Linked DNA regions of Arabidopsis thaliana. The protein of the gene in region 3 interacts with the protein of the main gene of each other region in a pairwise test. Each region holds a gene or a part of one and is shown on either strand. Other genes may lie near its edges.

Region 1 (3,951 bases), on a different chromosome or scaffold from region 3:
TTGACAACAAAATAACCTGATCATAGAAGAGAAAATCAAAGAGGTAAAGGGGAAATAACGAGACTATAAAATATGGGAAGAAGTTAAAGAGTAGAGCTACTCCGAATGGAAAGTGTATTAGATGTGCAGAGATTCATAGAAATGGAAGAAAAATAGAAAAAGAAAACGAAAGAGAAGAAAAGTAAAGAAGAGACAAAAGCATTGAACAACGATGCTTTTGTCTTTATTAGCCTATTAACCTAAACCCCTAGAGATTCAGACACGAACCTTATTCATCTCGAATATCTCAAACCCTAAAGACCATTAAACATCATCGCTCTCTTATCACTTTCGCATTCATCATCAACTCGTCATCATATGTATGTTTTCATTCACATGGAGTTAGTCCAGAATAATAGACTGCATGCCGTTTAACGGTCTAAACAAAGACAACTTGTAGTAACGTGTTTTCTTACAAAATGACATAGCAAAATTAGCATGCATGGCTCAGGAGTTATCACATATCGTTAAAACATTTTGGGTTTGCTTTTAGCGATTGCCATTTGTCGAGTGTCTCAAAAGATTCTTGTGGCCCGTATAATGGGCTTTAGAATATCGTTCTATAAGCCCATCAAATTAATGAACTGAGTATTATTTCCGGGAAAGAAATAACGTTTTATGCAATTACGACCCAATTAACTTTATAGTTTTTTAAAACTGATGGGGAATGACCCAATTCAATGTTTTCACCCTCTCAATTGCAGCCATTAGTTAATACTGTAGTAATGTTTAGAAACTAGTTTCAAAATTTTCGTAGAAAAATTCATGTAATATTTTTAAAAATCATTCGATGTGCTGCATGCGTATTTCCCAAAAATTAAAGTTAATATGATTTAAGATTTTGTTCACAATTACTGCCACCAGAAAAAGGACGGTGAGATTAATATTTTACAGGTGAAAAGATTTTTCCAAGACAAGGTTTAATTTGACCATGCGGACCAATTTACTTACAAGGTGTCATGGTTTACAAAAGCCCGTTAAATGAGTAAATCCTGATCTGTTTGCCACGCTGGCAAAACCTCTCGCAGAGGCCCCACCAAATACTATAAATCATTAAATCTCGTTTAAGGCCCAAAAAATGATGCAGAGTTGCGATCGTAGAGAGTAGAGAACAGGGAAGGACGAGCGGTTATGTTAATCATGACGTCATCCTCTACGATTCTCACCGGAGATATAGATGAAGAACACCGCACGTCGTCAATGGCAGAGGAAGACACGCCTACGCATTCCCATCGACGGCGCTGGAGCACTCCTGTTGATTCCGGCGGCGAACCTCTTCAAAGCTTATCCGTGAGCAGATCTCTAGAGATAAAATCAGACCACGAGAATCCCGACGACGAGTGCAGGGAACATAGAGGTGTGTGTGGAGTTATTCTTGACGAATATTTCTCGTGTTCTTCGAAAAATAACAGTTACAGTTTCTATCTAGGAGGGAAGATATCGCCGTGGGGACCGTATGGACCGCCGCTGCTGACGGAGTCGAGATCAAAGGCGCCGTCGCCGCGGAGAGGAAGAAGCGTGACGAGGAAGCGAGATCTGCCACCATTTTTGACGACACTGGATTGTAACGGACGGCCGAGATTTCATCACAGGAGAGTGAGAAGCGAAGGACGGTTAGAGATTGCCAGCGTGGCAGTAGATTCACCGGAGATCGTTAGTGTTCGTGGGAGAGAAGGACTAAGAATCGGAACAGTGAGAATCAGTCAACAAAACGACGTAGTAGAAGATGATAATGAAGATAAACAGAATCACTGATCTTCCTCTTAGAATTTTGATATTTTCAGCTAATTTTCCGGGGGGAAAAAACGACATTGTAGTCCGATGATCCGTTAGAAACAAGATAAGAAAAGGGAATTATGGGCTTTACTTATGAATATTAGGCCCATAATAATATTTTGTTGCAAAACAAACCTGGGCCTGAAGCCCAAATAATTCGCTCAAGCCGACGTGTTAATTTATGATTTGTCCGTCACAGTGATACATTAAAGCACAGGCTGTGCGGTTATCACACTGTTCGCAGGAAGACTTATTTGAGAGAGTTTTACTTTTGGGGGACACAAAGATTTGGAGAAAAAGTTTACTAAAAAAGAATCTGGGGAAGTAAGTGAGATGAAGGAAGAGGAGGAGATCGGAAAACCAGCGAAACCAAAAGCCAAGGTAGTCCCACAATGACTTACATATATTTCGCTTTCCATTTTCTAGGTTCCGTTCTTTGCGTTTTTCTTCTCTTTATTGTGTTAGATGCGAACCTTCTTATAATTCCGGTCAAAGTGCATGCGTTTTTCGTGTTCTTACTGTCTTTGGAGATCTCAGATCCCGTATTAGTAGTTACTATTGATGGAGGAAGTTATACAAGGCATAGAATTCTAGGTTATCAGTTTTGGGGTTCACGATTTTTTGGTGCTTGGAAGTAAATTGTTGGTAGTTAACTTTGAAATCTTTGGTCTTGCAAACTTTGAGTCAGTCTCGTGATGTGTCGTTGCTTTCAGTTATTGCTCTAAGAAAGCCTTGGTTCTTTTCTTTAACGCTTGCTGGAGTAGTGTCGCTCCTTATTCTTGCCTTACATTATATATTTCTTCTACGCTCACAAGTCTTGTGTGGGGTTGTTTCACTGAGACTTAATGGCAGAAAGATGTTGCTCCTGGGAGGTTGATTGATACCTATGCTGCACAGTGCGATAACTGTCACAAGTGGAGGGTGATTGATAGCCAGGAGGAATATGAAGATATCAGAAGTAAAATGCTCGAGGATCCTTTTAACTGTCAGAAGAAACAGGGCATGTCTTGTGAAGAGCCTGCTGATATTGACTACGATTCTTCTCGGACTTGGGTCATTGACAAGCCTGGTCTCCCCAAAACGCCTAAAGGTTTCAAGAGAAGCTTAGTTCTCAGAAAAGATTACTCTAAGATGGATACCTACTACTTTACTCCTACCGGGAAGAAGCTCAGGAGTCGCAATGAAATCGCTGCCTTCGTTGAAGCCAATCCGGAATTCAGGAACGCACCACTTGGAGACTTCAATTTCACTGTCCCCAAGGTCATGGAAGATACTGTTCCCCCTGATCCGAAGCTTGGCTCTCCTTTTCCAAGCACTACTACCACTACTTCAGAGAAGAGCAGTGTCAAGCAGAGCCATAACTAATATGTTCTCTTCTACCTTCTTTCTGCTCCCTAAAGCAATGCGTTTTGAGTCTTTATAGATTTGATGTTCTCTAAAACTGTTATGATATTAACATCTCTAAGCAAAAAAATATGATCTTTTGTCTCTTCTTTAACCGGAACTCAAATGTTAAATATTCTTTTAATTTGGATTCTTACACCAAAGAAACACACTTATTCCTTACAAGTCCCCTCGTAAAACATTAAGTAGAGGCTACAACTCCGGGAATTCTCTCATGGCAAATCCTCATGCACCTTATAGTGAGCGGTTCCTCTTGAAGAATACTGCACGATGTCTCACAGACTTCCTCGTTGGACATGAAGCATCCGGATATGCATTTTTTATAGGCCTCCGGTTCGGTGTAAGACAGGCATTTTCTGTTGCATTTTGTCTGCAAACCCTCATTAGCAACACCTTCTCCTCCTATGACCATCATCTCTGGTTTGGACTTGGTGCGAGGGCAAACGGCCATGCAATGTTGAAAGAGTCCTTCAAAGGGGTTGCAAAATGCCTCACAGAAGGGATTGTGTTCTTCTTCTTGTCGTCCACTTGTCTCTTTCTCTATCTCCATCATCAACAGTTCATTGCACTTATCTTCACACTCTTTCTTCTTGTTGTGGATATCATGTTTACAGTTGTGCTTGCACTGTTCCACCACCAAATCTTCTACTGCACTTGACACTGTTGCACTTTCCAACACCAGAATAGCCCAAATCAGTGAGATGACTACTACCTTTGCTTTTGTTGGTATCA
Region 2 (4,180 bases), on a different chromosome or scaffold from region 3:
TATTACTCAAAAACATGTGTCAAATTTAAACCATAATATCACACATCAACAACACTACCATAAACTTTTATCAAACTATTATGCTACATGATTTCTTATGAAATTTTGATTTCAAAATGACATTTACCCCATCCGAATAATGTAAACTAGAGAAATTTTGTAAGTTGGGCCGCTCAATGAAGGCATGCTTTTTCAGATGTTTCGGTCACCGATACTAGCGTTTAATTGTAGACGAGGCTCGTTCGTATTTCGTAATCTACACGAGCTTTCAGTAATCTCGAGGAACAATGATCCGGTTATGCAAAATTGAATCGCATCCGCGTCCGGTTTTACTGATCTAAATACGAGATATGTTTCAAAGGCCCATTTCTTGTAATGAGAAGGCCCATCGTGTGAATCTTATTATATTGCGCTTAAAATTAGCTCTTCCATAATATTAAATATCTGATGTTTCTTGAATATAACCAAATTTTACTAGTGTATAAAAGAATACACAAATATTTTTTTAAAACTCAACTGATTACATATACTCATCAATTCATCATGCTTGTATTTTATATCCTCAATTTAATAGACGTCAACACAATGTTATTAACTCAGTAAACCAACAAAAAAAAAAAAAAAACTAAACAACTTTAATGTTAATTAATTGTATATATGTAAATTACACACATAAGAGATTGTTTATACAATAAAATAGAATTTCAAAGTTAGCTAGTATGTAAACAAAATTCAACGTTCCTTGTGAACTCTTCTAACGACTTCATGCACCGTATTTGCGACCTCATTACCAGAAGGCGTCAATTGACAATCTGCCTCTACCTAATACAGAGACCAATCATTTTGAGCATATATAGTTGACTTTTAAAACAAGAAGCCTTATTTTAGTTATTTCATATAAATTTATGTTAACTAACAACTTCTATAATCATATATATTATCTTTTTCCCCTAAAACAAGAGAGGAAGAGAATAGATTACCTTGACGCTAAAAGTGAAGAGAGACATGTCTTTGGAAGTTGTGAGGTTGAGATGAAGAGTACTTAAACCTAAAGAGTTAAACTCATTGATAATCTTGAAGAGCAATCTTGGCTGTGTCTTCGTTAACACTTTAATGTTGGCATGTCTTTCTACCATTGTAACCTCCACGTCAGCAACCACCTCTAGTCGCTTGTGATGGTGGTGGCTCGAGGAGGATGAGGAGGCAGTGGCGGTGGCAGTGGCAGTGGCGGTGGAGTATTGAGGGAACATGAAGAAGTCGGAAAATATATTTGGTGATTGATTGAGTTTAGTAGCTTTTAATTGGGCTTCGAGAGATTGGAGACGTTGTTCTAGCTTCTTCAGATAGCTAATGGTCCCTTCTATGATTGATGCTTGGTCATTCTATTATAGGAAAAACCCAAAAATTTATCAATTCGCAATTTTATTTAGTAATTGATTCAAAAACAAATATACTAAATTACTATTATTTAATTAACGGCTTACTTTTAATAAGGAACCTTAACACTCTTTGTCTAAACTAAATTTTAACCGAACATATCAAATTATCAACATTGCTTAGCCTGCTTATATCCTATAAGCTAAATTAAAGATAGAAAGAAACTCACAGGTTGAGAATAAGAGAGAGGCATCATAGACTTGAGGATAGACAGAAAATGATTCATCTGTTTTCTCCGGTTACGCTCGACGGCAATGTGATTCATCCTTTGATTCTCTTTATCTACAATCGTTTTTTCACTTCTCCTTCTCCTCTTCCGCGACAGAAAGTCACCGCAACCATATCTTTCTCGTAGAGGAGATAACTTTTCAGTTAAGTGAGATTTTTGCTCTGTTATGGAGCAGGAGAGTGTCGCTGATGAATAAGAAGAGGACGAAATGGAATTTTGCTGTGACGCCACGTCTTCAGAGTTCGAAACGACGATGTTTTGAAAGTAATCCAACATTTCGTAACTTAAGGATGTTTCCACGAGTGAAAAGCCATGAGGGTAATCTTGTTGGAACATCATATATAGCCTCTCTCTCTCTCAACCAAACGAGCACAAAAAGAAATGAAGGAGTTAATGCATAAAAGTTAATGGCTACGTTATCTTTTACACAAAGTAATGTTTATGCGTGTATTTATAATGGGGTCTTGTTGGTTTGTTTTAATTTATTAATCTTTGGAGGACTTTAATAATCAAATTTTCACGACGTTTATGTAAGAAATGAAGCCCTAGCTCTGAAGAGATCAACCATTTGATTAATTTTAACCCGATTTTACGCAATAAATTAAGAAACGAATGCAATAAATTCTTAATACTAAGATCAACAATTAGTTTATAACTTTATATTTTACCCGATTTTACGCTTTATATATCGTCATGAAATCTCTCATGTTTGACTAAGGGGTATTTTTTATACCATGGACTTTTTGCTCAAAACCTCAGTTACAAATAGAAATAAAAACTCTTACAATTGATGGAAAACAATCTATAGGGAGTTTATTTATTTATTGACTGCAATCAAATATACTATCAAATAAAGAAAATTGGATTATGAAATGAATCTAAAGGGATACTTCAGCAACAGATCCCACATAACATAATCCAATAAGAACGTTCAGAGATATACACAACAAATAAGAATGTTAACTTTCATGATCGCAAAACAAATCTTAATACTTTACCATTCAAGTAATATATTTAATGAGGCATAAACAATTTATATTTCTTTGTGATTGCCAATCACAATGTCGTTTTATATGATTGGTACATTTCATCTAACAAAGAAACGAGTCTATTTGTGAGTTGAAAATTCGTGATTTGTGGTTCACTATTGGATCGTCGTTATCAATCTGACATTAATTGTACCCTATTATATATATTGTTGTGTCTATAATAAGGCAAGCTGGTTACTACATTTGTCGACTTCCACATTCCCAATTATTGTGTATTTTCTTGACTAGCTAATACATATATAACAAGAATTAATCTTCCACAATATGAATTGTGATGCGTTTACAGTGGTAATTTTGCAATAAACAGAGTGAGTATATATATACCCTTCGAACATTTAGTTTTAATTATTTGAAGAGTGTTTTTATGTTAGTTATTTTTCACAACATTCTGATTGGAGAAACAATTTATAGATTTTTGAAAACCCTTAATTAACAACTATAACGTAAAAAAAAATTTGAAAAAAAAAGAAAAAAAAAAAGATAGAAGAAACCTAGAAATAAAATGAGTTGAAATCTTTCTTCAATTTTTTGAAAACCCTTAATTAACAATTAAGAGTTTTTTTCTTAGAGACAGATTTTCCTTTTTCCTCCAAGTTTTTGTTGCACAATTAATAATTACACAATCAAATCTATAGTATTTTTTTAATTAGATCTTAATTTTGTACAGCCTAAAATAAAGTACCATCGAGAAACTAATTAAAAGTTTCCTTTTTTTTTGGTCTCTACCATCGAGACATTAATTAAGGAAATCTACATTAGATATTGGAAATCGAATCGAATCGTAGGAGCGTAGATCTTCACGCCTCGCGATTAACAACGACGCGTCGCGTTTGCTTGTTCCCGTAGGCACCAAGGCATCTATATAAACATATTGAGTTCACAATGTTTCACCCTCAATTCGACAATACTTCTTCTTCGTGTGTTCTCTCTCTCGGAAAAAACCCTAGTTTCTTGCCGAATCAAGGCAAAGTCACGATGAAGCAAGCTTCTTCTTCTTCTTCGTCACGTAATTCAACAAGTTTAACAAATAGACTTAAAACCATCTTCAAGAAAGCTGAAGAGCTTTCGATTCTCTGTGCTATTGAGGTTTGCGTCATCTATTACGGACCAGACGGTGAACTGAGAACATGGCCTAAGGAGAGAGAGACAGTGAAAGACATGGCTTTGAGGTATAAAGAGGCCAGAAAACGCAAGAAGAGCCGCAATCTTCATGAGTTCCTCGAGAAGGAGAAGGACAAGGACAAGGGGAAGACGAATTTGAAGAAGAATTGGTATCCAAACTTTGATCATTACTCTCCTCAACAACTCTCTCAATTGATTCAGTCCTTAGAACGGACTCTTTCTACTCTGCAAGAAAGGCTTCGTATTGTTGAGGCGCAGAAACTACAGAACACAAACTTGGTGCATCAGAGTTTAACACCATCGTATCTGAACCAGACCCAACACTTGAATCCTAGCAAGTTCT
Region 3 (3,439 bases):
TATTAACCTTGAAATTGACGGATGCAATGAATCAAGCTTCTTCTTGTCACAGCTTTCTTGTTTTCTCCTATTGAAGAAAATAATCATCAAAATCCCAAAACCAAGAATCAAAGAGACAAACTTTAGGATTCGAGAGAGTTAAGTATATTACTGAGATAAGCCTCTTCTCTTGTTAACAACACAAGGATAAGCTTTTGCACCAACGAGATTGTGATTAATCACACCCAATGCTCTCCTGTTCTGTCTCTTCATCTCTACACCGAATTTTCTGCTTCTCTTATCATCATCTGACAAAACCCAGAAACAAAACAACATCAGACTCTCTGTTCGTCAGACCTATAATTCTCAGATTTTTCAAAGGCGTTTTACTACTACTACCTTGAAGAATCTCTGTAATGGGTTTGACAACGAGATTACGATTGTTCTCCTCTGGATTAACCATTGTTTATTTTACTCGATTTGATAGTGCTCCTGGAGAAGAATCTAGAAGAAGAAGAAGAGCATCAAACGAAGAAGGATCTCTCTTCTCTCTGTGACTCTGTGTATACGTCTGATGCAATTGAATGAATCAGTAGGAGTCAGAGAAGGGGATGAAATAAGCGAGAGAGAGAAATTAAATCAAATCAATTAAAATTAAAGTTGCTACCTTTTTTTATTTTATTTTTTTTTATTATTGAAGGAAATAGCAACGGCTAGGTGATTAAGATGACCGTTGGATCATGAAGGAAACGATTTGTTTCTAAGTCTGTCTAAACCCAACGGTAACTTTTTTGGCCATGTGGTGTGTGTGGTGGCTCTCTCTTTCTCATTTCAAATTTATTATTCCTTTTTTGTGTTTTTTTTGTTGCCTTTTTCAGACAAAGAAGGCTCGTTACCACTAGCCAGAGCCTCCGTAAGGCGCGGCTCTAAGATCTTAAAGTCAACATATTGATTCTTTAATCTTAATCTTAGCTTATTAATCTGTGTTTTACTACAGAGCTAAGAATTGCTCTCTTTCCTAAGAATTATTGTTACCGAGAATTATGCTGACTCTGTAGTAAGTGTTCTTGCCATTTCTTTTTTTTTGGTCAAGCTTTTTAAAAATATTTAATTTAGAGAATATCAAAAATTAGGCTAGATGATTCTGGTCATAGTTATTGTAATTGAATTTCCTTAGAATGGTCAAAAGGTGATTGTGTTTCTAATTTCTTATTCAAATATGTGAAATATTTTAGATAACTTTTTATATCTGCATTTTTAGAAAACTGTTAAACGTTTAGTTAGAGTCTAGTGTGTAGATATTATTCAAAATAATATTTAAGACAGTTGCGGCTTCGCTATATCATATATCACACATCAATGGTTACATTAGTTTTTTTTGGTGTTGCAATTTGTTGTATTTGTGATTTATTACATAGCTTCAAGAGCTTCCTTCTGACATTGAAAACTATGTTTACCGGTATACATCAATGTTTAAATTTTAAATAGTAAAAACATATAGAATAAATAAAGAATGGCTAATAAAAATGATAATGTTTCCACCCAAAAAAAAAAAATGATAATGTTATTGTAATAATAAATAAAGAAAAAATATGTCAAAACAAAAGTTTACAAGTCACGTCATTGTCGGATGTCACATGCATAATAGTATTAGTGCAGTTGCAACGACTCTTGCAATCTCGATGACCAAAAACGCACGAGAAACGATTACAAACAGAAAACAAGAAAAACTCTTGAACCAACCTACCAAGTACGAATAACTTATGGGCTAGTAATGGGCTTTATACGATATTAAGCCCAAATTTACGTAATATCAGAGTTTAGGACGGACCAATCACAAACGACGGATGCAAATCTTCAAACGAAAAGGCGGGAGAGGAATTAACTGTCATAACCGCCATGGTTCAGAGAAAACTTTATATAAGGGCTAATTCAATGTCGTTTTGAAACATCAATCCCTAGACTAAAGTGCGAAAATAGTATGAGTAATCCGAACCCAGAGAAAACGAAAGTGGATGTTACTGAGGAAGAGAAAGAGGAATCTGATGAGCAATGGAGCGATGAAGAAACCAATATGAGAGAAATTGTTCTCGGCCTCCCTGCTTTGAATATCAGCAGTAGAATATTTGGAGAGAGTAGTAGTGTCGTTGAGGAAGATGCAGAAAAAGCGCGTTTGAATGAGCAAGCGGTTCTTGCGGCGGGGTTGATTTTGGCTGCGGCAGAGGAAGCGGTTATGAAAGGAATGAATGAGGGAAGTGGGAGTGGTGGGAAGAAAAAGAGTAGACCAAGGATATCTACGCAAACCGATGACGAAGGGGATGGTTTGGGTGAAGGAGAAGCGAAAAAGCCGAAGAAGAAAGCAAAGGAATTGACTCATCCACCGAAAGGACCACCGGTTTGTCATATCTGTGGAAGAGGTTTCGGTTCGTGGAAGGCAGTGTTTGGGCATATGAGGGCTCATAGAGATAGAAACTATCAAGGGTTTCTTCCTCCTCCTACATTCTCTGCGGGGGCTGAAAGGTTTGTGATTCCCGGGCTAAGATCTGCTTTTACTATTGCCACTGTCGGAGGAGGAAGTTCTGGTGGTGTAGCGGTAGGAGGAAGAAGTTCCGGTGATTTTTCTGGCAGTGGTGGTGGTGATGCGCCAGGATCTGAAGGTGGGAGAGGTTCAGGTATTGATTTGAATGTGGAACCTGTGGAGCAAGTAGAGGAAGCGACTGAATCTGGATGTATTGCCAAGTTCGATCTTAATAAATCTCCACCAAAAGATGAAGAGGAAGAGGACAAACCCAAGTGAAAGATTTTTTCATACTATTTAATAATTTACTATAACACATAGTATAGTTATTATTTTCATATTTCATATTTGATATATTTATCTAACACATTATGTTGATTCTTTGAATTAGTAATGTTTTGCAACAATGAAGAAAAGGAAGATCTTGTTAAAGGACCTAATATTAACTTTTATTTCTTAACACCATTTTAATCTGCAACAATGTGAAAAAGTACAAATAAATTTATATAAATATTCAACATCAAAATGAATAGTAAACAAAAAACATACAACTTCCAGTGCATGCAAATAATGCAGAGGAAAAATGAATGTGTAAGATCATAAAAGGAAACCTTTGTCAGGATCTAAATGATTGAAATGAAGATAATACTTTGTCCAAATCCCACTATAATTAAATCTGAAAATAGCAATTGGCAATAAAATATTCTTCTCAGAGCCATCAAATGTTCACCAATCTTTGAAAAACGACATCATTATCCTCTTTTTGTATGAAACTTTCTCAAACTTTTTACCAATATCAACTCTGTAAACATAGACTTTAAAAAAATATATATAGAATGAAAATATTTATCTAGAATTACAAAAGAAACAGTATTATACACAAAACCTTTCAAGAATTAATTCAAAGAGAATGAAACAATAAAGACTCTAAAATCATTTCAT

Evidence for each region.
Region 1: the proteins of AT4G35610 (region 3) and MBD4 interact in a two-hybrid assay, tested with the Arabidopsis thaliana proteins (one large-scale study listed by BioGRID).
Region 2: the proteins of AT4G35610 (region 3) and AT5G65320 interact in a two-hybrid assay, tested with the Arabidopsis thaliana proteins (one large-scale study listed by BioGRID).

Annotation. Positions count from the first base shown.
Region 1 is NC_003074.8:23,293,246-23,297,196, forward strand, and holds MBD4 (methyl-CPG-binding domain 4), read left to right. Parts: upstream 1-2,039; 5' UTR 2,040-2,148; coding exon 2,149-2,196; intron 2,197-2,667; coding exon 2,668-3,180; 3' UTR 3,181-3,381; downstream 3,382-3,951. Other genes in the region: AT3G63020 (hypothetical protein (DUF3049)), read left to right, coding at 1,180-1,794; AT3G63040 (uncharacterized protein), read right to left, coding at 3,401-3,951. UniProt on the Arabidopsis thaliana protein: Transcriptional regulator that binds CpG, CpNpN and CpNpG (N is A, T, or C) islands in promoters regardless the DNA methylation status. Plays probably a role in gene silencing.
Region 2 is NC_003076.8:26,106,636-26,110,815, forward strand, and holds AT5G65320 (basic helix-loop-helix (bHLH) DNA-binding superfamily protein), read right to left. Parts: upstream 2,092-4,180; 5' UTR 2,006-2,091; coding exon 1,607-2,005; intron 1,383-1,606; coding exon 981-1,382; coding exon of another isoform or gene 951-980; exon of another isoform or gene 943-950; intron 823-942; coding exon 733-822; 3' UTR 534-732; downstream 1-533. Other genes in the region: AGL78 (AGAMOUS-like 78), read left to right, coding at 3,691-4,180.
Region 3 is NC_003075.7:16,898,747-16,902,185, reverse strand, and holds AT4G35610 (zinc finger (C2H2 type) family protein), read left to right. Parts: upstream 1-1,917; 5' UTR 1,918-1,960; coding exon 1,961-2,776; 3' UTR 2,777-2,930; downstream 2,931-3,439. Other genes in the region: CYCB2;2 (Cyclin B2;2), read right to left, coding at 8-67, 152-287, 379-442.